Lonchura striata: one gene and its partners. The main gene of each other region encodes a partner of the protein of the gene in region 3 in a complex. Links are inferred from orthologs where the notes say so. Each region holds a gene or a part of one and is shown on either strand. Other genes may lie near its edges. The genes, in order: GEMIN2, SNRPD1, SNRPE and ARMC7.

Region 1 (7,247 bases), on a different chromosome or scaffold from region 3:
ACATGAGCTCATGCAGAGTTCAGTGCTAGAGCAGCTCCTAGCTGGTCACACCTCAGTACTTGAGGGACTCTACAATGCAGTATCAATGCACTGTAAACATGCTGTCTGCAGCAGTGGAATCACAAATTACCTCCACCTATATTTTTATTATATTTTCAATTCATCCTGCTTGAACTGTGCATAGAGAATAATAGAATCATAGATTTGGGCTGGAAGGGGCCTTCACAGGCCATCTAGTCCAGCCCCTCTCCCATGGGCAGGCACATCTTCAACTAGCTCAGGCTCAGAACCCCATCCAACCTGACCTTTAGTGGTTTTGAGGGATGGGGCATCCACCCCTCTCTGGGCAACCTGTGCCAGTGTTTCACCACCTTCACTGTAAAAAAAATTCTTCCTTATAGCTAATTGAAATCAATCCTCCTTTAGTTTAAAACTTTAGCAAAGCTTAGCTGAACTTAGAACCTTTACCCTTTGAGACTGCTTATTTTCTGTTCTTGTGTTATTTCAAGCAGGGTGCAAATGTATCAGGAAAGATGAAAGTCTGTGCTAATTCTACAACCTTACAAATATGTTTTACCAAATCAGTATGTCTCCTCATAATGGGTTGCCACCTCTGTCAACAGGTTTCTAAATGCACTTTATGAATCTCCTGATGGGTTAGAATCCACTTTGTTCTTAGTTAATATTAAGTTCTGCAGAACATTTCCTGCTAGCACTATGTTTTAATATAACTGCATAACATCATAGGGGTTTTTGTCCTTCCTCAACCATGCCTTTTAATTTAATCAAAATACAGAGAATTTCTTAAACTTGACTCTCAAGAGTTTCATCAGAGGTTTAAAAGCCACACAGTATATGCTCAATTAGCTTTCAAGAACTTAAAACACTTGCCTATAAACTTCTATCCTGCAACAAAATCGCAACACTTCTCTACTAGATGTAAAGTTATCCCCTATAAAGCACAGATATGTTCTATCTAGACCATGCAAGACCCCTCACAGACTATCTTGTACCTGACGAACAGCTGAGAAATTGGCCACTTGCTGCTGCTGCCACTTGAGCGTTGGAGAGTATCCTTCAGGAGCAGGCTGACATCCAGAAATCTGAGAAAACACTGGTAATAATTATAATGTAAAGAGATCTGCATAAGAAGAATCCTTAAGGACAAGAGAATCAGTAAATGTTTACTATCAGGTCAACAATATCCTTGAACTCTCCATCTAAGAAAGGTAATTTCATGACCACATCCAAGGCTGAGTTAAGATTTTGGCTTAGACAAATTTGACACTTCTCATATGTACATAAGAAGGAAAACTAAGTGTTCAAAATACATTGTCAAATAATTACTTAAGGTCTTCCTTTCAGCAATTGTTCTGCTTTAATCTCCCTGCTCATAAAAAAATGGATGCAGCTTCCTTATCTGGGACAGATACTATCAATCTTAGGCAGTCTTCCTGTGAAGATAGTAGTTGAGGAAGACAGAAGACCATAAAACCATCTAGAAAATTAAATTTGATAGTTAAGTAGATATAACTGCTTTAAAGATTAGCATGAAAGGGTTATTAAACAAAATCTTTCTACAAGTGCTTAAGAATGTCACTACAAACAGATGAGACAGATGAAGAGAATGGCTACAGAAGTTACAAAGTCATATCAGTATTAGAAACTTTCTTTGAGAAATCTAGTAGGGCAATCTCAGATTACATCGTTGTCGTTGGAGAAAGGCAAACTATTTGAAAACAGATTAAAAACCAAGCTGGCAGGGCAATGCAACAACAGAAAAATCTGCTTCAACAGTAAGGAGAAGTTCCAATAAAATATTCCTTCCAAAAGGAAAGTGGTACTAGAATTTAATGTAACTTTAGTAAAGCTTAGCTGCACTTACTACCCTTATGCTAAATATAGACTTAAACCCAAAGACAGGTATGGATATGTTTTTCTTCTAAAATTTATGCAGGTTTAAATTTATGCAGGATTAAATAATTGTAAGATTTAATGCAACATTTGATTTCCTTACACAGTAAAATAGTCAGCTGTGTATCAAATAGTATGGGGATTATCAATTTAATAATTTAGAAATACTGCTGTTACCCAGCAGGTGAGCAGGGGTTTCTTCAAACACAGACATTTAATTCTGTAGATGCTTTTAGAATCTAGCAGTGCTATTCAGTTATGCCAATGACTCCCCCAAAGTAATACAAACATCATTATAGGAACATCTCTCCCGGTTTCCCCCCTACTCAAAACGTGCAAAAGCTCTCAAACTTACTGAAATGTTTACTGTCGGCTTCTTCTTCAATTTTCTGGGATCTATTTGCGCCACAACAACGTCAGGACATCGCGCTGCTTCAATCCTACAAAACAGAATCAAGTGGGCTGCATTTTTTTCTTTCATGTGACAGGTCGGTATATACCGGATGTCTTTGAAATACTCATAAAAATCATGGAGGGACCAATCAATATCATTGAGTCCAACTCCGTGCACACGACAGCCCAGAAATCACACCCTGTGCCCGACGGCGCTGTCCAAATGTTTCCCGAACTCTGTCATGAGCTGTTCAGTGCTCAGCCACCCTCTGGGTGAAAAACCTTTTCCTGATAGCCAGCCCAAACCTCCCTTGACACGGCTTCATGTCGTTTCCTGGAATCGTGTCGCCGGTCACGACAAGGAAGAGATCGGTGCCCGCCCGTTTTAAAGCAGGTGTTTAAACACCGGTGTGAAAGCACCGGCTGTGCCGGCGAGGGCAGCACGGCGCGGCCGCCCTGGCGCGCCCGAAGCCCGGCCCGGGCAGCACCGGCTGCCCCGCCACACTCGCGGAGAGGCGACGGGCCCGGGCCCGGCCCCACCGCCCCGCCACTCACTGGACGCGCTTCAGATACTCCTGGGGCGTCCTGGGAGGCACGGTGGGATCGAAGTCCTCGGCCAGGTCGCAGTCGCCCACGGGCAGCAGCCGCGGCATCAGCTCCTCCAGGCCCGGCTCCATGGCCCCGCGCGGCTCTCGCGAGAGCGGCGCTGCCGCGCGGCGCGCGCCTCGGCCCGGCGCCGCTGGGCGCGCCCCGCGCCCGGCGTCGTGGTTGTCCGGGCGGTTGTCCTCCCGCCGGGGAGCACAACAAGCATGGCCGAAGAGCAGCGGCAGAAGAGGGGTTGCCAATCCACTGCCCATCAAACTACGCCTATTTTTGTGGTGAAGAGGCGTAAACCTTTAATAGCTTCCTTCATTAGCCGCTGTGACATTATTCTAATATGCTGTAGTTTTTGCCAAAAATTCTTTAAAGCTCACCCGTTAGTACGCTCTTATTTTACTTGTGAAAACCCAGTATTCGTAATATTTGTCCCTTTCTTGAAATGCTTTGAGATCTGTGGTTAAAGTCAGTTATATAGAAGTTAATGATTTTAAATTTACAGAGTTCCCATTCTGGAAGGATCAATGCCTGAGCTGTTGCTGTATGAATTTTTCTGAAGACTACAATGTGAAAGCATCCACATGTCAGAAAGCAAGGTAGCATCTGTGTTATAAGTTGAGGCGAATAATTTGATTCAGCCTTTTAAGATCAATTAATAATTTTATTAATTACAGCAAGCGATAGCAAGCAAAACAGCGCTGGGTTCAGCTGGGAGCCTGGCTCCGCCAAAAGCTGACAACCTTTCCTTCTCTTCAGTCCCTTTTTATCTTGCATGAGTGGGGGTGATGAGTCTCGTTCCACCGTGGTTATCAGTCCCAAAAACAATGGATTTTACAAGTGGGGTGGTGTGTCTTCTTCCACTTCGGTTTATCAGTTTTCAGCAACAATGGGTTTCCACTGCGGTTATCAGTTCCAGCCAGTCCTGCAAAATCTTTCACAATCTTTGTGGTTACCAGTCAAGCCTGCAAATTCCATGTCCCGACTTCCCCCCCTTTTATCCTAATTTCATACTTTTGATGAACAAACAAGTCAATGCAGTTTCTCACATCTGCACAAAGGGGCATTGTTTCCCAGGTGAGACAAAAAGTGAAAGGGTGATGCTGTAATCATTTACATTGTGTATTATGAAATTCCTGTTACACAAATGTCCATCAGTATATTATCTCTTCAATTAGTTCTGCAGTGTTAGATTTAATATTTCAGAGTAGTTTGAGATACTTCTGACATAAGTTAAAAAAAAAAAAACAACGTTTTCTTTTTAACCCCCTGCAAGCCTGTATTTCAGTAGTTCTAAATAAACATCTGCCTTAACTCCTCCTCTCCAATGGCTTTTGTTTGTTTTAAATTGTTTCCAAAAGCACCTACGTGTACCAGGGAGATTTTTTTTCCTGAAACCCGGATCTAACGTCTTAGTTGAGTATGCAACAATTGCAGTCACCACTAGAAATAAAACTTGCCTACTTAAACCTACAGTGATAACTCTGGAAAGGCTGATGATCAAGACAAAAACTTTGGTGAGTCCAGCTATATAAAGTTCTTTTATAATACTTTAGTAATATTCAGAACTTATTTTTCCTATTTGTTGTAAAGTCCAGAACTACGAACTTCATAGAATCAAGCGAATCCACAGATATACGCTTCAAATATACTTCCTATCTTTAGATCACTTTTTATTCAACTTTCCATTGATACTTGTTAAGCAAAGCAACATATTTTTAATTATTGCAGATAGTATTTCTTACCAACAATGCTGATGCAATGGCTAGCAAATATGACTCAGTGGAGAAAGAGGAAAATGAAATTGGAAATGTATATATTTCTTCTCACCTGCTTAGGCATTAAGGAAGAGTGCCTTCCCCAAGAAAGGTTGCATTAATGGATATGCCTCATTGGCTAAAAAACCAAACCAAAACAAAGTAACATATAAATTCTGCATTATGAAAAATTAAAATGTTTTCAAATCTACATTCTAGATATGAATATGGAGAGCTAGCAAAATATTTTCTTATAATGAATAAATGAGTTTATATCTATTTTCTACTTTTCTTTCTCCTTGATTTTCTCTGTGGTTAGCAGCGTCATAACAGCTGCATGACTTTAAGTTTAGAGCATTGGACTGAGTTATTATGTAATGAAATTTAATTGTACTGAAGATTAATTTAAAATACTGAATATATTTTATTTGTAGTAAACTTTCAGAGTAGTATACTTTGCTGTTTTCCCTTCTTGCCCTTTGAGTGTCTTTAAATGTCAGATGCCTCTTTTTCTCTTATTTATAGAGTTCATCCTGCATTTTAGACTTCAGGACTTGCCTCTTTTTTGGGGAATTTTCTGAAAATGTTTCACAAGTTATTTGAATACTTTTGAAATTACAACACTGAGTAATTTGCTGTGCATCTGTTTGAAGTGTGGTAGGGTTTGGGGGTTGGTCTGTTTTTTTCTTTTTTTCTTTTGAGTTCAGGGTGAGGATGTTACATGTCATTGGCAAGCTCTTGCTTAATACTCCCACAAATGGCAGTGAGATTTGTGAACAAGAAAATTAAAAATCCCTCCCATAAATTCTGCTGTTGCTTAACTGTTCATGTTTTTAGTCTGAAGAGGACTGGTAAACCATACTGGAGAGAGCAATGGCAAAGAAATTCTATCATAATCACATCTGACATATAAAAAAAGAGGGTAAAGTTGTTTTAGTAATTTGTATTTGCTTGATGGTCACAGAATATTTTCCGAGTTGCAATGAAGGAGGCAGGATATGGTAGCCAGTCAGCAGAATGTTTTCCAGTCCTCCCCCATGTCTGGATTAATTGCACTACGACATCTCAGGAAAGACAGAAGTTATTGTTCTGGCCTTTCATGACAGCCTTGTGAAAAACAATTCCTAAAACTGAAGAGTTATCTGTTAACTTCAGTTTGTGGATAAAAAAGCTGACCACACTAACAAGATAAAGGATTGTTTCAGGTTTAAACCCCCAGGAATATAACTTCATTTTGTTTTTTCCCCAGGCACTCAGAAGAAACATCTAAACAATCTTCCAGATTAAGAAGTTGCCATAAGTAGTCATGGTGGAAGATGGGAATAAGCCCGGCTGTTTCGATCCCGGAGTTCGTGCCGGACGGAGCAGCCCCGCACAGAGCAGCGCAGCCACCGGCGGGGCCGCCGGCAGCCCCGGGGCCGCGGCACTGCCGCAGGGAGAGACGGCCAAACTGCCCCCGCTGATCGGGATGCACACGACCGACCTTCAGAAGACAGCCGAACAGGGTGGCCAACACACACACGCGAGCAGGAGCTGCCAAGGCGGCGGAGCCACGGTCGGAGCCGCGGGGCGGCTGACGCCGGCCGCGCTGCCCGGGCCGGGCAGGCCGGGGCGGCCGGCGGGCTGTGCCGGGGGCGGGCGGGCGGCGGAGCTCAGCCCGCCCCCGCTCTCTGCCCTTGACGTGGCGCGGACTCTCCCATCAGCCATGTTGGTGCGTCGGCGGCGCCGGGGCGGCTGCGGGCGGGCGGGCGGGGACAGCGAGCGCAGCGGGAGCGGCGGCCGGGACGCGGGTGAGCGCGCAGCGCGGCGCTGAGGGGGAGCCCGGCCCGGCGGAGCTGGGGTGCAGGGAGGGGAGAGGGGCAGCCCCTCCTCTCCCCGCGCTGGGAGGCACGGGCACCCGGCCCGCGGGGCCCCGCACGGCTGTGGGACCCGAAGGGAGCGTGGTGGGAGCTCCCCGCGCCTCCTCCGTGGCGCTGGGGGATCTCCGGGTGCCAGAATTGCTGTCGGGGCCCCCGGCGGCCTGAGAGTCCGGGGCTGCCGCCGGGCGCTGGTCAGCAGTGCCCGCGGCCTCCCGGGCCGGGCGAGCAGCCCCAGCAGCCCCAGCTCGGCCGGGGGCCGGCGGGCAGGGCCTTGAACGGCCGGGGTGAAGGGCAGCGCTCCCCGGCAGCGCCGGGGTGCTCCTGTCCCGGAGCTCCGCTGTAGCTGTGCCGCTGTGCCACTGACGAGGGTGCCTTCCAGTGTAGGTAAAACGAGAAATGCAGGCCCTGCTGCGTTTGATTATGCATTGCTTTTTTTTAAATTTAGGTACCGTAGTTGTTTAAAGTTTTCAGTGAGAGATCTGGGAGGGCAGATTTGGAGGAGGACTGCGTTTGAGTGGTGAAAATGTTAGCAAATTGCTTTAGATAACTATTTAAACTATTGTGCTCATGTATTTTAGTTCTTTGGAACCGAATTTGTATCTGGTATGTAATTTGGTCATAAAAAATGAATTAAGGGTTTATTATTAATCTCTTTTACCAGGTTGTTAGTGCCTAATAATTTGAGAGAAGAGGTGTGTTGTAAGAAAAGTGTGCAGTGAACTGTACTCAT
Region 2 (7,430 bases), on a different chromosome or scaffold from region 3:
CTCTTTTCTCTCTTGAATTATGGCAGTTACCATGAGAGGCCTTTAGTTCCTCATGGTGAGAGATCTTTATCCAGGTCCTGGCAATAGCTGCTTTGTAAATAATTAAAATAACTCCTCCAAACAACAAATAAACTACTGCTTATTACAGAAGGCGAATACTAATCTTTAGTCCTTTAAAAAGAAGTAAAATAAATCTTGGAGGAGGAAAAATAACCTGGGTCATTTCCTTTTTCTGTAAGCCTCAGGAGAATCCAACCACAAAAGCAACATTTACCTTCTGATAAAATACATTCAACACCAGAGTGAATTCTCTATGAAAGTCCATAAAATACCCCACAACAAGAAACAGCCACTGTGGTTACAAAGTCTGAGAACAGCCAGTACATATGACTTGTATGGAATTAGTATTGTGCACACTATGCTGTGTTATGCATAATTCCAAACTGGAAAAAAACATCTCAGTTGGATGCATTTACTGTGTAACAGCTCTGAGAAGCAATAAAAAAACCCCCAGAAGTTTTTATTTTGCATATGCAGAGCTTTAGGTGAGATCTGACCTCCAGCTATGAAGATCAAGATGACAGTGACTTTATTTTCTGTCCTCTCTCCTCTCTCCTCCCTCTTGATTTTACACAGCTCCAACTGACCCAGTCCCTTGGCTGGTGTGAGGGGCATTACACAAAACCTGCGCCTTCAGCCCTGCTCCTGCCCTGGAGCTGGGAGGATGAGGATATTGTGCAATGTTTTTGTGGATTCTTAGCAGCAAATGAGAGAGGCTTTGCTAGGCAATTAAGCCTGAAAGAGCAGTGAGGTAAGGAAACCAGCAGTGTTAGCTTCCCATCTGGCTGGGTTCAGCAGCTTGCGCTGCCATTGGGAACCAAGGTGGTTCACTCAGCTCCGATAAAAACTGATGGACCTGGCTGCAAACTAATGCCAGTTTTGAACTCTGCCAAATCCCCACAGATTGTTGTTGGCCAAAAAAGTACCTCAGCAATCCTCTAGAATAAAATTCAGACTTAACAAGAGTTGTAACTTTTTATTTTCCAAGAGTGCCTGGGCAGAAGAGCTTCTGAAAGCTGCCTGGGGGTGAGTTTAGGAAGGCAGATGCAGTGGCTTCCTCAGCTCAGCTGTGAAGGTCTGCCTCATTAAACACAACGTGCCCCACCTGCATCCCTCCTGCTGTCTCCAAGCACAGCTCACAGAACACTCAGAACAACGTTCCTCACTGAGGTTATTAAAGCAAACAAATTCGCTTGCACATGTTTTAATACCTGAGAACTACATAATGAACCCTTCAGAATTCTCTGCAACTTTCAGCTCAGTGGTACGAAGAAGCACCTGGTAATCAGGAATTCCTAGGAACCCACAGGACAGACCTCTGGCAGCACCGGGAGAGCAGATTCTCTTGGCCAGGATTCCTCTTTGCCCTGTATCCCACACCCGGCTCTGCCGTTCTCAAACCTGCCTCTCATGCAATCAAACATATGCAAATATGCATTTCCATCTAGATCTGCCTTAAAACGTGTTCAACAGAAATAATTTACTTTATTTTTTAGTCTACATGCAAAATTTAACCAATTTCAGACCACATCAGTTGGAAAAGGCTGCCCAAAGAAGCTGTGGATACCCCATCCCTGGCAGAGTTCCAGGCTGGATGGGGCTTTGAGCAACCTGGTCTACTGGAAGTTATCCCTGTGCTTGGGAAGAGAGTTAGAACTGGATAATCTTTAATGTCCTTTCCAACCCAAACCATTTTGTGACCGTGCTACTAAAATTCTAAGAGACTGCCAAGCAAGGTTTGGAAGAGTTCGCTTCCTTCCCCCCGAGCCTGCCTGCAGGCAAAGCTGCAGCTGGGCTCAGAGGCTCCCAGCAAAACCTTTAAAACAAAGAAATCTCAGTCCACCAGTAGTGAATGGACTCACTCACTACTAAACATCAAAGACAATCCGTGACCCACTGAATTTCCCAAGTACTTTTGTGGCTGCCTATGGAGTGGCTGGTCACAGCTCCCAGCTGTTCCCAGCGACCCCCAACAATATCCAGACACTCCTGCAACACAAACACACCTCGCCCTTGCACACAAAGCTCTGAGTTACAAAGCCCATCTCCTGCATTTCCCCGTGCTGGTCCCCGCAAGAGGGAGCACAGGACAAAAAGCTCATCCGAGCCGCGGCTGTAAACTGTCTGCCGAAAGGCAGCGGGGCAGTATTTGCTGCATCCTGCCCTACCTGTGATCGTTCCGTGCACCTGCGTCCCATTCTTCAGCTCAATGGTCACAGTCTCATGGCTCAGCTTCATTAGAAACCTGTGAATTAAAAACGCCTTTTAAAAACTCCAGACCCGTTCAATCCCACATAAAGCCGTACGCGTTCGACAGGCAGCACCAAGCAGCTCGGCATCCTGAGCTCCCAAAGACGGCGCTCAGGAATTCTGCTGGGGATGTTCAGAGACACTCCGCGTCCTGCCCAACCACCGGCAGCTGGGACGCCTGAGTGACACACTGCCGGGTCCAGCATCCACTTCCAGGCGAAACGGCCATTATTGTACAAAGAGGGAACCATTTTACAAATCGTTACAATCCCGGGAAAGCAACGCTAACGCACTCCGCGGCGTTTCCCTCCAAAAATGAAAGGCGGTGGGGGAGGGGGGTGCTTTGCCGAGCGACCCGCGCAGTCCCGGGGCGGGAGCGGCCCGGCACAGGGGGCTGCTCCCGCCGGGCCCATCCCGGGCCGCTCCCGCCGGGCCCATCCCGGGCCGCTCCCGCTCCCGCCCGCGGTGGCGGGAGAGCGCGGGGCGGCCCGGACTGCGCGGGCTCGCCCGGCGCTGCCGCCGCGGCCGGGCGCGGGCAATCCGCCTCCATCCGCCCCTGCCCGCGCCCACCCGCTCACCTGACGAGCTTCATGGCGGCGGGCGGGCGGGCGCGGAGCGGCGGGCGGGAGCCCCGGCGAGCGGAGAGCCGCGGGCGAGCGGAGAGCCGCGGGCACGGCGCGGCGGAGGCGCCTCTCGGATAGGCCGCGCCGGCCGCGCTCGCCGGGACGCTGCCGCGACAGCGCCCCCTAGCGGCCCGGAGGACCCGCGGCGAGCGCCGAGCAGCGCCTGCTGCCGCCCCTGGGGGGAGAGGGCGGGGAAAAGGTGAGAGGATGGAAAAGAGGGACGGGGAAAAAGAATGGGCATGGTGGGAAGGAGATACGAATAGGAGTGAGGGGACTTGGTCTATGAAAGCCTGGCTTTTTGTAAGGTTTGACAACTACCAGCTTGCCGTCCTTAATTAAAAATAAATGTTAGAAAAAAAATCAAATAGTGTACTTCATTTTAAACCTGCTTTGAGCTTTACAAATAGGAAAAGAAATCCAAGGCCTAGAACCTGTAAAGCACTAATTTATTGTGATAAAAGTTACAGCTTCAGGATCCAGAGCTGTAATAGCAAGAATTTTCACCTATTGGTATGGCCAATAAGGCACTGAAGTGCCCTTGTGAGGAAAGAGACAGAGAGCCATCGGCCCTGAGCAGAGGTGACCCTGGGGATGCAGCGCTGGAGCACTCCAGCCACAGGTGCTCCAGAGAGAGATCCAGCCATGTCTGAGAGGAGTGAACATCTCACAGTGCAGACTGGATCAGACACTGCCCCAGATCAGCCCTGTTTGAGTGATGGTTCCCACCTGCAACAATGAGCACACACAAAACTGAAGCAGCCTTCAGGTGTGAAACAGCTCCGATTTGGGAACAGTCTGCTCCAAAGTACAAAATGCACTGCAGACAGCAATGTAGAAAAGCTGAACATTTTATTGTATTTGAAGAGTAGTACACCATTTGTGATTTTAGAAATACAGAGTCTTTGCAAAGCACTGAAACACAGGTGCCTTCCAACTTCTAAAACCTACGTTATTCTAAGTCTTACAAACCTTCTATATTAGCAATTCAAGTTTGGTCTTTGCTGCAACAAGTTCGTTACCAAAGATGCACAACTCAGTTCTAGGCTGCAAGACAACTGAGCCAAGTTTCAAACTCCACCTGCCATTGAGCCACCAGAACCATTGCTTTCAAATATTGAATCTATGATGTTCTTATACTTTGTGCCCATGAGGGAGTTCACCTTTGAAAATTTTAAGTTAGGAGGACTTCCTAGTTAGCCACCAACTGGTATTTTTCCATTACAGCATCTAGAAGCAAACTGATACCTTGCAAGTACTAGTGCTCATAAACAGGTTATGTTTACACAAAACCCAGAGAGGCCTCCAGAAACATTCAAGGTTAAAATGAACAGTTGCAAAAAGAAGAAGAAAAAAAAAAAAAATCTGTACATATTTTCAGTCATGACACAAAGGAACACTGGAGTATCAGTGTTTTGTGTTCTAGCTTCAATAATGACACCTGTGCTAGCCCTAGTAGTATTCTACATTTTTGTCCCTTCCCCCCATTTAAATTTTATATTTGCAATCTGAATATACAGCTGTACTTACAGGAAATATTAAACAATGCACAGCGCCTTAAGCAAGTTCCATGTCTGGTTTTGAACAAACCATATAAAATAAGTGACAAAATAGTTTAAAATTGGTCCTTATTTTTATACAGCTTGGAAGCACTAAATTTAAAGACACACATTAACCAGCACAAATTAGTCTGCAGTTTTTTTCCTCCATTTTTTTTTTTTTTCTTAAAAGAGTGTATTACAGTATCATGCATGAAAAGCAAGCTGCTGCTCCCAAGCAGAAATACGGAGTTTAGACTTACCGCTTTCTTCTCAGGCTGTTATTCCTTCTTTCATAAATTATTTCAACATAACCAAGGATAGAAGCAGCTGACTAGCAAAACAATATGAAGTTAATCTTTTATGTTGTGACCCATTCTTAAAATAATGAAGTACTTTGGAACTTTAGCATAAGGAAGGTTGAATAAACACTGCAAAGGACTTTTACATTCTTTGATTTTGTTTACATCTTCAGAAATAAAATTCTACATTTTAACTCACTAACTACTCGATTTTCATATGGAGACTGTAGTATTGAAACAGTGCAAGACATTTGCAACTTCAGGAACATCCAATTACACTGCCCTTTCACCCAAACAATGATTAGCAGAATATTGCATCAGTTCTAGATAAACAAGACAGGACAAAAACCTCATTTTAGAATAGCATTAGGATTCATAAATCTTTCATATTTAGTGAAAAGAATCCACACACAAATATGCACGAAAGACTCCTTAACACAGACTTTATCACAACAAACGTAATCCAGCTGTAAATCTGGACCAAGACTTTTTATTGGTAAGAAGCCATATTTGTTCAGAGATCCCTATCAGATGTTCCATTAATAATGCTTCAACATTTGGGTATTTTGAGACATTAACAGCATCAAAATTCTCTCCTGTCAAGGCCAAAAAACCAGCTGAAACAACCCAGGTGGAGCATGAGCTTCAGCAGTCCACTTAAGCTCCAAGGCATTCCAGAACCAAAAAGCTGGCTTTTGTCTTTGCACTACTCCAGTAAGAGTGGAGCCCTGCCCACTAATGCAATATTCCAAAGACCATTGCAACTAAGACTGTCAAGTCAGGTCTCAGTTGAAAGCTACCACCACCACAGGACACCGTTTCCTTACCCCTGACCCCTCCCCCATTGCCAAGGAAGAATGTTCATAAGAGCATTTTTTGGTGTGGAAAGCAGGTCAGTAGAGACTCCAAGTGTGGCTTGAAGAATCCTCAGTACCAAGCCGCTTTCCACACACACAAATTCAGTCCATCTTCTCCTTCTGGACCAGCTTGGGTGCATCTACAAAATCTTTGCCGTTGTAAAGGATGATAGCAAAAGTTCCAAAGCTGGCACTTCCCCAGAAAAGCACATAGGCCAGTGTCTCAGTCCATGTATCACCTGAGAAAGAGTCAGACAAAGCTTTTAGCTCATTATCTCCAATTAGCAGACAGTTTTACTTTAGGACAAATGCAAATATTTCAAGCTCTCCCTCAGAAATCTGTTGTCAAATGAAATCAGAAGTCTTCCACAGATCTTCCGTTTCCTTGCCTTGGAATATTTGTATTTGCCACACAGTTCTTGGAACACATTGAACAGAGATCTGTGGAAGTCAGTCAAGAACTCTACTGGCAATAATGTAAAAAAATTCAAGGCAAAAGCAGGAGGCAAAAACCCTTCACCACTCCCAACACAGATTTAGATTAAAAGGAAGTCCATCAGAATCAGGCTTATGCCTGTATCTGACCGCTCTGAATTGTCTTTCTGCCCAAAATTAGACAGGTATTCCTCTGGGGCTTCATCCAGCCTATGATAAAGCTACAGGTCTACCAAGGTGCATCTAGATTTGGGGATAATTAACTGTCCCTTAATTGACTTCTACATGAGTCTTAACACTGTATTCTACAGCACCTAAGATTTTTCCACACTAATGATACAGTGCTAAACCTCAATCTCCAGAGCCATGTTCAAGCACCTTTTAGAATGACAGAGAAGCAATTCTACACTGAACAGTTATTGTAACCATTTACACAAAGTTCACAGAGAAATAACCCAGTCTTATAAAATTAAATTCAATAGTGACTTACCAGCCATTAGCAAACAAATAATGCACATGGAGAAAGCAACCACCATAATAATAGGCAACTGAGGAAAGAGAAACAGAATAATCACTTGATACACCAGTAAATATGTTCCTTAATTTCCTTTAAGATGGGTAGTACTGTAAAGCTATTTACTTGCTTTGCTTCTCAATTCACCTGCATTCAGGTACAAATAAAAGTTTGGACAGTTCCAAAATTTGGAAGACTGTATTCAATAATTATATTTAAAACTGAAATACACTTCCTGTGCATTAAATGAGAGGTTGAGGCTTATGCTTTGTTTTAAAAAAAATACACCAGTTAAACCCCATTATGTTCCCAAATGCCATTTCAAAATAGAAAGATAAGGTGAAGAAAAATGAAAAAAATGGGTGTTTTGTGTTACAGTCTATGCTTCTGCAAGAAGTGCGAGAAAAGAAGTCCACAAGATTCTTCTGTATAAGGAAACACTCATTGATAGTGACTAGTAGAATTTCCCCCCTTCCACCTGGTGAAGCACATTTGAAAAAAAGCAAAGAGTAGTTTTTCCAATACCTCAAGGACACTCCATTTTCTGTCAAGGGAAAAGTCTGGGTTTAATCCTATAAGCAGGTATCATAGAAACATTACCAGATTACAGGGATGCTTCATGACTAACAGACAAGTCCTACTCAGGCAAAATGAAGCCAGGGACTGAATTGTTGTCTCTCCTATTACAAATAAAGTCTCCATACTCACAGCTAAGAACTTCCAATCCTTCTTGACATGTAAAGGACTAGCAGGTTCTACTTCATCTACTGAATAATTTCCAAGAAAAAGATCAATCGCATCCTGGAAGAGAAAGGGAAGGCAAGAGTTCGAATGCATAGCAATGTTTCTCAAAT
Region 3 (6,420 bases):
CCAGCTCCCCCAAACCCAATCCCAGCTCCCCCAAACCCAATCCCAGCTGCCCCAAACCCAATCCCAGCCCCCCCAAACCCATTCCCAGTTCCCAAAAACCCAATCCCAGCTCCCCCAAACCCAATCCCAGCTCCCCCAAACCCAATCCCAGCTCCCCCAAACCCAATCCCAGCCCCTCCCACCCTCCCTAACCCCCTTTGTAAAACCCCAAACTCCACCTCGGGTCCCTCCTGCGCTGACTTCTCCCTTCTCCCTGCTCTGCCAGCCCCCAGCCTGGCAGCCAGGGGCATTCCCTGGCCCAGGCAGAGGTGTCGGGATCCTCCTCCTGCTCCTCATCCCTGGAGGCGCCGCTGAAGCTGCGGCGCCTGAGCTCAGCCGGCGGCGCCAAAGCCGCGCTCTCGGTGGAGGACGACTTCGAGAAACTCATCTGGGAAATCTCCGGGGGAAAACTGGAGGCAGAAATCGACCTGGATCCAGGCAAGGATGAGGATGATCTCCTGCTGGAACTCTCCGAGATGATCGACAGCTGAAAGTGAAGGATTTTTATTGGAAAAAAAAAAAAAGGGGGGGGGGGAAAAAGATGCGACGCCAAAAAAAAAAAAATCCCCTAAAAAAGCAAAATTTCCTCCTGGCACCCCGAAGAAATGCTGGAAATGCTGTTGGATCCGTGCAGGAGATGCTTTCCCAGCTGGATTGGTGGGAATAGGCAGAGTCTGCTCTCAGTTATCCCAAAATTCCTGGTTGGGTTTGTCCCACGTGGGACGGAGCACTTGGAATTCCCTGGAGGGACAACACAGATCCCATGGCAGAGCTCCCTCCTGGACAGAAAAACCCCAAAAAAATCCCTGGAGTTACTGTGTCAACTCTGGAATCCACGGTGGACTCGGAATTGGGGGGAATTCGGGGGTGGAAAAACACCGGGAGGAATTTTGGACCAAACCCTGCCAGGGTGAGCCTGGCTCCGAACGATCCAAGGGGGATTTTTCTTGGAATTTTGGGATGGTGGAAAAATCAAAATTCCTCCTGGAATTTGGGAAAAGGAGCATTGCTTCAAGTGCCTCTGGATTTTGAGGATTTTTCCCTGTAATGAACCTCCCACATCCAGCTGGGATCGTTGTGGGAGGGGAAAAAAAACAAAAAAAAACCCAAAAAAACCACCTGGAATATTCCCCCCTTGGCTGCTTCCCTCTTTTCCAACCTATTTTGGAGATGGGATTGAGAGGAATCCCCGTGGATTTATTTTTATTTTTCATTTTTGTTTATTTTGATTTTAGTTGGTTTTTTTTTTTTTTGGTCCTGTAAATATTTTATTCTTCCATTTTATATTTGTATGATTCTATTTAAGGGATTAAAGGTAGGCTGCTCAACTGTGGTGTCCTTGCAGAGTTTTGTGCTTTGATTTAAGGAATGGTATCCAACAAGTTTGGTGGGAATGCTGGAATTAATTAGAAATTAATTAGAAATTAATGAAAAAATAATGAAATTAATGAAGAATAATGAAATTAATTAAAAAATAATGTAATTTATTGGAAATTTAATGAAATTTATTGGAAAATAAATGGAATTTATTGGAAAATTAATGAAATATATTGGAAATTAATGAAATTAATGAAAAATGAAATTAAAGAAAAATTAATGAAAAAAAAGAAATTTATTGGTAAATTAATGGAATTTATTGGGAAATTAATGAAATGTATTGGAAAATTAATGGAATTTATTAGGAAATTAATGGAATGTATTGGGAAATTAATGAAATTTATTTGAAATTAATGAAATTTATTGGGAAATTAATGAAATTAATTGAAAATTAATGAAATTAATGGAAAATTAATGACATTAATTGGAAAACAATGACATTAATTGGAAATTAATGAAAATAATGAAATTTATTGGAAAATAATGAAATTGATGTAAAATTGATTAAATTGATGGAAAACTGATGAAATTTATTGGAAATTAATGAAATTAATGGAAAAATTAATGGAATTTATTGGAAAAATAATGAAATTTATTGGAAATTAATGGAAAAATTAATGAAAAATTAATGAAATTTATTGGAAAATTAATGAAAGGGGCTCAGCCTGGAGAAAAGGAGGCTCAAGGGGAATTTGGGATCTTCCACAGGAACATGGGAGAGATTTCAGGGAATTTTTTTTGCTTTTTTTTTGTGACTTTGTGGGATAAATGAACAGGAAAACTCGAGCACTGTAAGAGCACAAAAATTACTTTATTTTAAAATTTTGTGTATTTAAGGGCGCAGCTCTGCTGTAGCTCTAAGCCAGGGGAACATTGCTAACAAATGTTTTATTTATAGATGAATTGTGGTTATTCAAACCAAATTAAATAATAGTGTGAAAAATGCCCAACACTTAGTTTTTAAATTTTTAAATTTTAATAATAAATCGGTTATAAAACTAATAACACAATTAGAGTAATAAAGTGTAGAGTTAGGACAATTAGAAGACAATAAAAAGCAGATTTTTTTGATTAATTTTTTGATTAATTAAACAAGAAATTCGCTTTTTCTGATAAGAAACCCATAAATTCCTTTTTTTTGGAAGATTTTGGTGTTCCTCGAAGCGAGTATCTCATTCCTTAAAAAAAAACCCAAAAAACTCCCCCCACATACTAAGAGAAAAAAACCTACTAAGAGGAAAAAAAAACTAAGAGCAAAAATAACCAAAAAAAGAATAAAAAAAAATCCTACAAAGAGCAAAAAAACCCACAAAAAAAACCCGAAAAAAACCTAGTAAGAGCAAAAAAAATAAACAAAAAAACCCCATCTTACTAAGAGAAAAATAAAAGACCCTACTAAGAGCAAAAAATAAAAAAGAAACCCCAAAAAACCTACTAAGAGGAAAAAAAAACAAACAAAAAAAAAACAAAAAAAAAACTTTACTAAAAGAAACCAAAAATCTACAAAGAGAAAGAAAAACTACTAAGAGCAAAAATTACTAAAAAAAGAACAAAAAAATCGTACTAAGAGCAAAAAAACCCACAAAAACAACCTACTAAGAGAAAAAAAACGTAAAAAAAATTAAAAAAACCTGCTAAGAGAAAAAAAAAAGGACCCTACTAAGAGCAAAAAATAAACAAAAAGAAACCCCAAAAAACCTAAGAGGAAAAAACCCAGAAAAACTCTACTACGAGAAAAAAAGCAAAAACCTATTAAGAGAAAAAAATCCTACTAAGAGCAAAAAAACCCCGAAAAAAAACTACTAAGAGAAAAAAAAATTTAAAAAAACACACTCAAAAAAAAAAATATACCCTACTGAGAGAAAAAAAAAGAACCCACAAAAAAATCCTACAAAGAGAGAAAAAATCCTAAAAATAATGATAGGGAAAAAAAACAAATAAAGTAAAAATCTCCTGAGGGCCTCACGCCGCCAGTATCCCACAATGCCCTGCGCGCTCCGCCCCTCACGGCGCCGCTTCCGGCCGCCATTACCGCCGTGCCCGCCTTGCCCGCCCCTCACGGCGCCAGTGTCCCACAGTGCCCCGCTCGGGCCGCCATTACCGCCCGTGCCCGCCTTCCCCGCCCCTCACGGCGCCAGTGTCCCACAGTGCCCCCTTCCCGGCCGCCATTACCGCCCGTGCCCGCCTTGCCCGCCCCTCACGGCGCCAGTGTCCCACAGTGCCCCCTTCCCGGCCGCCATTACCGCCCGTGCCCGCCTTCCCCGCCCCTCACGGCGCCAGTGTCCCACAGTGCCCCCTTCCCGGCCGCCATTACCGCCGTGCCCGCCTTGCCCGCCCCTCACGGCGCCAGTGTCCCACAGTGCCCCGCTCGGGCCGCCATTACCGCCCGTGCCCGCCTTCCCCGCCCCTCACGGCGCCGCTTCCGGCCGCCATTACCGCCCGTGCCCGCTTTCCCCGCCCCTCACGGCCCCGCTTCCGGCCGCCATTACCGCCCGTGCCCGCCTCCCCTGGCCCTCACAGCGCCGCGGCCCCGCGCAGCCATGGCGTACCGCGGGCAGGGCCAGAAGGTGCAGAAGGTGATGGTGCAGCCCATCGTATCCTGCCCGCAGCGCTCGGGGAGGGAGGGAAGGGAAGGGAAGGGAAGGGAAGGGAAGGGAAGGGAAGGGAAGGGAAGGGAAGGGAAGGGAAGGGAAGGGAAGGGAAGGGAAGGGAAGGGAAGGGAAGGGATGGATGGGGACGGGTGGGAAGTAGGGAAGGGAATGGAGGGAAGGAAGGAAGGGAAGGGAAGAAGGGAAGGGAATGGCGGGTTCCACTATGGGTTCCACCGCGGGTTCCCTTCAGGGGTTCCCCTCAGCGTTTCCCCCGTGCCCCCGGCTCTGCTGTGCCCTTAACCCCGGCCCCAGAACCTGATCTTCCGCTACCTGCAGAACGTGAGTGCCGGCAGCGGGCTGGGGGGGAGGGACCTCAAATCTCCCCATTTTAACCCCATAAAACCCATTTAACCCCAAAAATCCCCATCTTATACCCCAGAACCCCCATTTTATAATGCCAAAAAAACCTGTTTTATACCCCAAAACCCCCATTTTATAACCCCAAACCCCACCCAAAAATCCCATTTTATTACCCCAAAATCCCATTTCATACCCCCAAACCCCGTTTAACCCCATTCCCCCAAACCCCTCACACGCCAGACAGTCCCACCCCACACAGGGGTGACCGCAGACAGATTTGGGGTGGGGACAAACCCTGGACCCCAAACCCCTTTGGGGCCCTGCTGACCCCAAATCCCATTTGGACCCCAAATCCTGTTCCCGTTCTGCAGCGGTCCCGGATCCAGGTGTGGCTCTATGAGCAGGTGAACATGAGGATTGAGGGCTGCATCATCGTGAGTGCCCCATTCTGCTTTGGGGTTTTTTGGGGGGGTTTGGGGGTTTTTTGGGGTTTTGAGAGTTTGTTATTAGTTTTATGAGGAGGTTGGGTTTTTTTTGGGTGTTTTTTGAGGGGATTTGAGGGCTTTTTGGGGGGGTGGTTTTGTGTGGGTTTTTGGGTTTTTTTGGGGGGTTTTGTATGGGTTTTTGGGGTCTTTTGGGGTTTCTGAGGCCGGTGCTGCTCAGCAGGGCTTTGACGAGTACATGAACCTGGTGCTGGACGATGCTGAGGAGATTCACTCCAAAACCAAGGCCAGGAAGCAGCTGGGTAGGGCAGGGGGAGAGAACCCCAAATCAGGGTCTGGGACCCCAAATCGGGACTGGGACCCAAAACTCCGGGGGTGGGTCCTGGAACCTGGATGTGTGACCTTAAATCCTGGTTTTGGGACAGGGATCCAGGTTTTGGGATTGGGATCCAGCTGTGGGATTGGGATGGGATCCAGCTGTGGGATTGGGCTCCAGCTGTGGGATTGGGCTCCAGCTGTGGGATTGGGATGGGCTCCAGCTGTGGGGCCGGGCTCCAGCTGTGGGATTGGGATGGGATCCAGCTGTGGGATTGGGATCCAGCTGTGGGATTGGGATCCAGCTGTGGGATTGGGATCCAACTGTGGGATTGGGATGGGATCCAGCTGTGGGGATGGGCTCCAGCTGTGGGATTGGGATCCAGCTGTGGGATTGGGATCCAACTGTGGGATTGGGATCCAGCTGTGGGATTGGGATGGGCTCCAGCTGTGGGATTGGGATCCAGCTGTGGGATTGGGATCCAGCTGTGGGATTGGGATCCAACTGTGGGATTGGGATGGGATCCAGCTGTGGGATTGGGCTCCAGCTGCGGGGCCGGGCGGGATCGGGGCGCTCCCACCCCACAGGCCCATCCCGAGCCGTTGGTTGCAGGTCGGATCATGCTGAAGGGGGACAACATCACCCTCCTGCAGAGCGTCTCCAGTTAGGATCGGGCTGCTCCCGGCCCCCCAGCGGGATTGGGATCGCTGGGAACCCCCCGAGCTCCCGGGGGAATCGGATTTTGTACTTTGGGCAATAAAACGGGGTTGTTTTTTCACAAAATCTGGGATCGGGGTTTCAGGGAGAAATGTTTTCCAAGGGTTTTCCCCCTGTGGGATTGGATCTGGGGGGTTCAGGATAATGGGGGTTCGAGTTTTCCCAAACCAAACCCTTTATCCCAAAACCAATCCCATCTTCCCCAAACCAATCCCTTCTTCCCAAAAATAATCCTTCATTTCCCAAAACAAATCCCTTTTAAAAAAAAATCCCGTTATCCCATAACCAATCCCATATCCAATTGGATATGGATTGGATATCCCATATCCAATTCCTTCTTCCCAAACCAAATCCCTTTTTCCTTAAACCAGGCCTTTCTTCCCCACAAAAAGTCCCTTATTCACAAAAAATCCTTTTTTTATTCCCAAAACCAATTTCTTAATCCCAAAAAAATCCTTTTCCCAAACAATTCCTTTTCTCCAAAAATGAACCCCTTTATCCCAATAAGAATCTTTTTTTTTTCCCCAAACCAATCTTTCTACCCCTAAACAAATCCCTTTTTCCCAAAAAATCCTAT
Region 4 (7,728 bases), on a different chromosome or scaffold from region 3:
ACTGCCAGGAAACAACCAGCCCAGCCCCTGCCATGCCCAGGAGGCTCTGTCACTGCAGGGATCAGCCACAGAAACGAGCTGCTCCTGTCAGACAGTGCTCTGTGTTTCTGGAAGATTGCTCTGCACCGTTCATCTCCTTAGTGTTTTGGATGTTTGCTGTTGGAGAAGAGAAACTATAAACTACAAGCAGCTGTGGTTGGATTTTTGTGTGTGTTTAACCTCATTCCTGTTTGGTTTGTGCTGTCTGGGGCCAGAGGGGAGAGAAGAGGAAGAAGGCTCTCAAATGTAAGCAGATCCAGTGTGGGTGTCTGTCAGGAAGCACTGAGCTCAAACCTTTTAAATTTTATGTATTTAGCCACCCTGGTTATGGGGTTTCCTCTTGCCTCATGGCTGATAATGAAAAGAGACTAGGCTGGCTTCGATTTTTTGGCCCTTGTGCTTGAGTAAGAGCAGGCAAAGGCTGCAAGTGCTGGAGAAAAATATTCATTAGCTCACACAGAAATGATTACACAGCATTTAAGTTAATGTTTTATTAACAGAAGCTTTTACAAGAGAGCTGTTCTCATGAGCCAGGCTGTCATGAGCCCGTTTTTTTTTTACTTCACCTTTCTCATCAGTGGTAATAAAGACAAACTTAGCACTTCTTCATTTATAGGGCAGCTACAGCCTGCCTACCCTATGTAATGATTCCCTAGCTGGCTGCCTGTGCCACAATTAGAGGATGGCATAACTAGTGCCACAGGGATGGAGAGATTGTGAACGGGGCAGGGAAACTCCTTTCTCTGAAGGAAGAATACCTTTCTGTGACATTTCAGTGACTTGACACTTAGCGTCACTTGTCACAGACACTTAAGGGGAGAGGTGTAGCACAACCAGCCAGGAACCGGAGTGGATATAATTCTGCTCAATAACCTGAGCAGAACACCCCTCTTTACTGGGAAGTGTTATTTGTGCAAACCGTGTGCTGAGCTGCAGTTGGCAAAGCACTTTCCAATGTGCAGCTATGACCTGCTTTATTTTAAATATTTGCAGGCTTAGCTGAACGCTTGGCCCAGCTGCTGTGTTAGTGCTGTTCCATCCTGTTTGTTAACTAAACACCAGCACTGGTGGCACCAACTCCTCTCTTTAATGCTGCTCTTGACCTGCTGAGCAGAAAGGGAGAACAACAGGAGGTTCCCCTCTCCACAGCCCTGCTCAGTCCTTGGGCAGAGGAATGCCCACTGCCGTGTGCTTGCTGAGGTTCCTGGCCTCCTCCACCTGTGGAGGGCTGCAGTAATCCTGCAGGAAGATGGATGCCAGGTTACTGAGGCGCGTGTTGGCCGAGAGCGAGAAGCGGAGCATGCATTCCACCACGGGCAGCGCCGTGGTCTGCGCGCGCGACCGCGGTGTCGTCAGGAACATCAGCGTGGTCACGGCTGACACCACGGTCTCCTCGTTGGAGCTGGACAGGCAGTTGATGATGGGCTCCACCCCGTTGGCCTCCAGGATGTACTCTTTGTTTGTTTTATCCAAGCACAGGTTGCAAAGGCCACCTGGAACGGCAAGAGGAAAGTGTCCGAGGTGACGCAATTCACAGCTCATCCTATTTCTATCATCCAGATCTTCTGGATGGATGGAAAATTCTTAACGATTCCCTAGGCTGTGCGTTTTTGATTGTTTCCAGCGATTTTCCACCAGCACGCTCCGGCTGCCTGTCATTAGAGGGCACTGTTACTGCTGCACATAACTGCTCCCACACAATGATTCCAGGAACGCTCACTCATCCCTAAGGGAAGACACAAGCCAGCAGTTTTATTGCAGGTGCTATAGAAAGCCAGAGAATGGAGGTAACAGAGTTAGCAGTCAAGAAACACAGAATGTTTGAAACTTGAAACTTTTGAGATGCAGACACAAACCTTAAAAATCAAATCCATTTAGTATCATCTCACAGAACCACTCACAGCATCTGGCCTTTTAGCTTATGTTCAGACAATGAAAAATCGTGGTAAGGTAGTTCCTCAAAAGATTTATTAAAATTGTCAAGTAAGTATTCTAGAAGACCAGTTGCCAATATCAGAATGGTTACATGGATCTGTACAGTGTACCTGGCAAAATATATGTATTAACAACTGCTTCTCTACAGGACAGATTTCAGTACAAAGTTAATCAGGTAGTGTTTAGGAAAAAAAACCACGAAACAACAAAATCTTTTCCAGATAGTGTCTTCATTAAGCTCTGCAAGGACATGGAAGACACACCTGCCTCTGACTTCTCTCCCATTGTGCACTAAACGAGGCTTTATCAGCACAGTGTGGGTTTGTTTTTGGAGCCCTGGGTGACTCTGGGGCAGGTTAAGGACCAGACCTAGGGTGCTGGGGCAGCGCTTACCCATGGCAAACTCCACGAGGCTCTCGTTGTCCTCCGTAAGCATATCGAGGAACAGGTCCAGCACCTGGAGCTGCCGGAGATACTCGTAGTTGCTGGGGTCGTAGGCGAAGTTGGCCAGGTTCGCCAGCACCTGCTCCTTGGCCTCTGCAGGGGAAAAGGGTCGGTGCGTGAGGAAGCGGTCGGCGCGGAGGGGGCGAGCGAGCAGCGGCGTTTGTTACCTGTGCTGTCCGTCACCTGGAACTCGGTGACGAGCGCCTGCAGGTACTCCAGCCGACCCAGTTCCATCGGGGCACACCGCACGGGCTGCCCGTTGCACCGGACTGGGTGCTCCGAGGAATGGAGACGACACGCCCGCCTCAGCGCGGCGGGAGCAGCCCGCCCGCCGCCATTTTGTGGGCGGGACACGGCGGTGCCAGCTCCCCTCAGGTTGCCGCCATTTTGTGGGCGGGACAAGGCGGTGCCAGCGCCCCTCAGGTAGCCGCCATTTTGTGGGCGGGACAGGGAGGTGCCAGCGCCCCTCAGGTTGCCGCCATTTTGTGGGCGGGACAGGGAGGTGCCAGCGCCCCTCAGGTTGCCGCCATTTTGTGGGCGGGACAGGGCGGTGCCAGCGCCCCTCAGCGGTCGCCATTTTGTGGGCGGGACAGGGAGGTGCCAGCGCGCCTCAGGCGGCCGCCATTTTGTGGGCGGGACAGGGAGGTGCCAGCGCACCTCAGGCGGCCGCCATTTTGTGGGTGGGACAGGGCGGTGCCAGCGCCCCTCAGGTAGCCGCCATTTTGTGGGCGGGACAGGGAGGTGCCAGCGCGCCTCAGGCGGCCGCCATTTTGTGGGCGGGGGGAGGCCCGCGCCCCAGGGGGAGATGTGGCTGTTCCGCAGCTGGCTCTCTCTCTAAATACATTATATATAATTATATACGTTCTATAAAAACAAATTAGCCTATGTCGAGGTATTTGACTGTCTCATTATATGGCAGAGCGTTGCTGTTTAAACGTGTGGTTTTGCAAAGCAGGTAACCTTTCCCCACTGATTTCTTACTCAAAGAATTTTCACCTCTGTGCTTGTGCTATTCCATCCTAATGCTGTTGTCCTTGGGGTAGTGTTGCTCCTGGATCAGTTCCAGTTTAAATAACGGGATTGTCATTCATGAAGCTGAGGGATAAAAAGTAAAAACGGGACACAATATGTGCACAGTGAGGGAAATTATCTGTGAAAAAAAAATGAAACAAAGCCAGGGAGTGAATTAAAGAGCAGCAGGTGATTCTAGCTTGGTTGTACAGTGGTTTAGGCACAGAGCAAAGTGAGTCCCTTGTTTTGAAGTAACACAGCTCGGTGAAACCACCACAATTTTACCTGCTGCAAGAGGGTTCAATTATGGTTCATGTTGTGTAAATATACAAGGTAAAGGTTAATAAAGATCATAAACTGTAGGAGTGGACTCTGCAGAAATTTGTACTGCTTTTATTGAAGCAATTACATGCATGGCTGTTCTGTGGATAAGGCAAGGAACAGGCCGTGAGAATTTTATTTTTTATGTTATCTCAAATACAATTGATTTTTATATCAAGCTAATTAGTCATGGACTGATCCACATGGCACCAGTGACAAGGGTGGTGGGCTGATAACCCACACAGCTGAGGGCACTGAAATATCTGCCCATTACTACAATAAATAGAAGGATGAGCAAAGAAGCTTCACTGAATGCAGTAATGCTAAATATTTTAACATTGTAATGGTGTAGGAAGATACAAAACATGAAACACAAAACATTTATTTCTATGTGGTATAAAAGTTTAAGCCAGGCTAAATGCTAACAACTTTAGCTCTTCACATGATTATCAACTGAAGTCAGTGTGTATTTATGTATATGTTTAAATATATACATGTATTTTTATCTGCATATTTGAATATATCTGAAAATTATCAGCAAGGTGGTACGAACTGTGTCTATATTAGAATGTTTTGCTAATGTAGTAAGAAATCTCCTCTAATGTGTGCCTTTATAAGTGGTAAGTGCTGCTGTACTTTAAATCCTCATCTATCATTAAACAGAAGGTGAATGAGAAATGTGGGAAAGCAGGAGCAGAGAAAGCAAACACAGGGAGCTAGTCCATGCAAACAGAGCGCTGCTGGGATTGACTAATAATGGAGGGGGGGGGGGAACTGTGTTTAAAAAGGAAAAATGCAATTACTTCTGTTGGTAAGAACTGCATTTAACCCACCCGATATTGGCGGTACAGTTTAATGGTCTGAGTGCTCCAAGCAATGGCTGTTTGCCAGAGCAGTTCCCAGAGCAGGGGCTGATCTAGCCAGGGTAGTCACAGCTCCAGGGGCTATTCTGGTGACTTCCATAGCACACCGAAGCCAGAATTCAGGAAATTTAGATTTCTAGTAGTTGTTTCTTTTCTTATATCTACTAGATATGTCTGCAAGCAGCAAGACAAGCTCTTAAATGAAGTGATTTTGCACTTCAGAGGCGTCTTAGAGTGTGTAAGATTGCCGTAACCTTTATTTGGGGGTTATTGCTATTAAATGTATATAATTAATATTAAACTTTCTCAAGTATTACCCTGACAAAGAATCTTAGGCTTTTAAGGATCATGATCTTGCAATATGTTAGTGTGAATGTCCCCAGTGTGTTTCATTTCAGTGATGAAATGTGCTTCTAGCCAAAATGTTTATCTTGCAATAGTGAGAATATCTTCAATGATAAAGGGGGCAGGGGAGGGGCAAGAGAGGACATGGCTCAATTTTTGTGGCTCTGTTATTTCTCAGAGATTTGTAACCTAGCTGAGTTATTAGTGTTTGTCCCAGGGTTGTTTTACTGTCTGCAGGTGTTAAAGGAACTGCTTCGGTGAGGCTGCTGTTGCCTTGTGTAAAAGGCTGACCTTAAACAAATGAGGGGAATTTTTATCACTTTCTTTTCCTTCTGGTCCCCAAGATTCCTGAGTGTTGCTGCACCTGTAGGATCCCTCTGAGGGGGAATATTTATTATTCTGTAGCATGCTCAGGTCTCTCTTGGTATCCTTTGCCAAGCTCCTGCTCAAGGCAGCTTGGAGTCCAGGTGGGAAACACACATGGGAGAGGAGACCCATGGAAAGGAGAGGAGTTGTTTTCTCTGTTATGGGAACTAAGACATCATATTCACCTGTGGAAACACAGCATAAAATGTAATACTTCTTGACTGCTGAGGATTTGCTTCAAACCTGTGGGTTGTGGATTACTTTTAAAGGCTCTGTGGAAAGTAACCAGGGGAGACAAACCTGTTTTCAGGCTTAAGTTCTATTAGAAAGGTTTCAGTCAGCAACTTAAGAAATGTTAAAATAACAGGTTTGTGAATTTGTTGTTTTTCTTCCCAGAAACCTCTCTCTGCACCTGCGAATAAGTCCCAGTGACCCCAGAGATAAGTCTGGGAGTATCAAAAAACACTTCTGAAAAGTGTCATCCATCCTAAATTATCTTGCACAATCAAGAAATTATCAAAACAGGTATCTTTGCCTTGGTGTAGGAGGAGCTGATCTCTGTGTCAGCTTCAGTTGGTGAAGATTTTTTGGTTTTGCCCTGTACATTTCCTTTTTTATGAAGCAGCCAAGGCAAAAGCATTACAGGTGGATCAGCTGGCTCTATGCAGGAGGTGCCTTCCATTGCTCCTTCACCTAACCTTTGTTTCCTGTCAGAAATTTTGGTGGATTGTAGCTTACACCATATCTTGCCTATTTTGTCCAGGACATTTGTAGCAATGAGAGGATCTGGGGCCACATAACCTCATATTTCTGTAAGAAAACAGAAAGGGAGTGTAGAAAGGTGAACAGAATTTAAAATTTAAGAATTACAGAGAAAATGGCAACCTGTTCAGCTGCTTAGCTGTTTATTTGCAATAGCTAGAAGAAATTAGGGATTTAATCCCTTTTTATTGCTTTTTTGTGAGAAAGCCTCTTCATTTTCTTAGGAATGTATAGAAGTCTCTTTTGGTAAGCTGAGAAGCACCAGTCCCTCTTTACTTCATAGTTATGGATCGTGTAAGCATTACATAAGTTAATAAACACATGTGATGAGAGATCAGATATGTATGTCTCCCCCTAACCATCTTATTTAAGTATAGGTTTGTTCAGGAAATGCAAATCCTCCTGGGTCTGTAATCCCAAGACAGTATTGAGCTGTAGGAGCAGGAGCCTGTCTGAAGGGCTGACTCCCGTTTTGTGTAAAAGCCACCTGTTAAGCCATTGTAGTCTCTGAAGAACGTGGAGTCAGTTTTTGAATGGTTTCATGCAAAGTGTTTTTTTTTTAATTGGTTTGTTTGTTTTTTCTGGGGAGCTCTAATGAAAGCTGTGGGTTTGTCACTAGGAACGTGTTAGGACAGTTCTCCAGATAAGCACTGCAGCTGAGTTATAACAGTTCTTAGACAGGCACTGCAGTTCCATTGAAGGCTGTTACTTCTTCCATTTCACTCCCATTTTGTGCTTCCATCTTTTTGATTGTTCTGATGTGTTGGGTTATCTTTATCCGTGTGCTTCATGAGCTGTTATCTGTGTCTGTTGGATCAGGGATGACACAGAATATGAACAGTTTGCATCTTGAGCTGATGCTGAGGCTGCTGCAGCCATTGTCTGAGCAGAGACAAGCCTAAATCCTGGGAATGTGGCAGAGAAAGCCACTTACACTCAAGGCTGTATGGATAGAAAGTCAGCAACACTGGCTTTTTCCACTATGCTTCCCCCACAGATTTCTTTGTAAGTTCTGCTTCTATGAAATATAAGTTATGTTTGTGCAAAGTTCTCTATAATGGGAATGCTGGTGTAATTAGGTTCAAAAGTCTAAGACTAAAGAGCTGAACTGATCTCCACAAAGAGGAGCTACAGTTGCTTTGTATTTTGCCCTATAAAAGGATGCATATCCTTATTCATAGGTCTGATATTACCCTCCCTGCCACAAATTGGTTCCAGTTGATGCTGAAGAGTGTTTACATGAGCCATGAATCCTCTTTTATTATATATTAAACTGCACTTGAGATATCAGTAGTTACACAAAGTAGGCACTCGAAGGCATGGTGGGTTGGTGTGGTTTTTTTTTTTTTTGGTTTTTTTTTTTTTTTTTTTTGGGGGGACTCTGGATTTGAATTTGAAGGCTTTGAAACTGTCCTTGGCATGAAGAACTCCCGTGTATGCTTCATAGGAGAAAACAGTTTATCTTACTAGAGATTTGTCTGAGTTCTACAACCCATGCATCTGCTTTTGTATAATATTTAGAGATGTGGAAAATAATAGCACAATTCCTGTGGAAAGTGTTTGTCTTGCCACCCCCAACATGGGAAGCAAGCAGGAAGCCTGTGCACCAAGACTGTATATTCAGATGAGGCAACAATATTTC

Evidence for each region.
Region 1: SNRPE (region 3) and GEMIN2 share a complex: the UniProt entries of both Homo sapiens proteins name them as parts of the SMN-Sm complex. The link is inferred for Lonchura striata from reciprocal best matches to the Homo sapiens genes SNRPE and GEMIN2.
Region 2: SNRPE (region 3) and SNRPD1 share a complex: the UniProt entries of both Homo sapiens proteins name them as parts of the SMN-Sm complex. The link is inferred for Lonchura striata from reciprocal best matches to the Homo sapiens genes SNRPE and SNRPD1.
Region 4: SNRPE (region 3) and ARMC7 share a complex: the UniProt entries of both Homo sapiens proteins name them as parts of the minor spliceosome. The link is inferred for Lonchura striata from reciprocal best matches to the Homo sapiens genes SNRPE and ARMC7.

Annotation. Positions count from the first base shown.
Region 1 is NC_134608.1:23,823,846-23,831,092, forward strand, and holds the start of GEMIN2 (gem-associated protein 2), read right to left. Parts: upstream 3,023-7,247; 5' UTR 2,985-3,022; coding exon 2,863-2,984; intron 2,355-2,862; coding exon 2,270-2,354; intron 1,104-2,269; coding exon 1,014-1,103; intron 1-1,013. UniProt on the Homo sapiens protein: The SMN complex catalyzes the assembly of small nuclear ribonucleoproteins (snRNPs), the building blocks of the spliceosome, and thereby plays an important role in the splicing of cellular pre-mRNAs.
Region 2 is NC_134603.1:111,362,167-111,369,596, forward strand, and holds the start of SNRPD1 (small nuclear ribonucleoprotein Sm D1), read right to left. Parts: upstream 3,017-7,430; 5' UTR 2,903-3,016; coding exon 2,889-2,902; intron 2,306-2,888; coding exon 2,229-2,305; intron 1-2,228. Other genes in the region: SACM1L (phosphatidylinositol-3-phosphatase SAC1), read right to left, coding at 5,730-5,866, 6,553-6,610, 7,285-7,377. UniProt on the Homo sapiens protein: Plays a role in pre-mRNA splicing as a core component of the spliceosomal U1, U2, U4 and U5 small nuclear ribonucleoproteins (snRNPs), the building blocks of the spliceosome.
Region 3 is NC_134632.1:2,737,533-2,743,952, reverse strand, and holds SNRPE (small nuclear ribonucleoprotein E), read left to right. Parts: upstream 1-3,885; 5' UTR 3,886-3,956; coding exon 3,957-4,010; intron 4,011-4,319; coding exon 4,320-4,346; intron 4,347-4,738; coding exon 4,739-4,801; intron 4,802-5,033; coding exon 5,034-5,112; intron 5,113-5,738; coding exon 5,739-5,794; 3' UTR 5,795-5,909; downstream 5,910-6,420. Other genes in the region: ZC3H11A (zinc finger CCCH domain-containing protein 11A), read left to right, coding at 266-530. UniProt on the Homo sapiens protein: Plays a role in pre-mRNA splicing as a core component of the spliceosomal U1, U2, U4 and U5 small nuclear ribonucleoproteins (snRNPs), the building blocks of the spliceosome.
Region 4 is NC_134621.1:5,395,078-5,402,805, forward strand, and holds ARMC7 (armadillo repeat-containing protein 7), read right to left. Parts: upstream 2,801-7,728; 5' UTR 2,653-2,800; coding exon 2,586-2,652; intron 2,512-2,585; coding exon 2,368-2,511; intron 1,533-2,367; coding exon 1,195-1,532; 3' UTR 503-1,194; downstream 1-502. UniProt on the Homo sapiens protein: As a component of the minor spliceosome, involved in the splicing of U12-type introns in pre-mRNAs.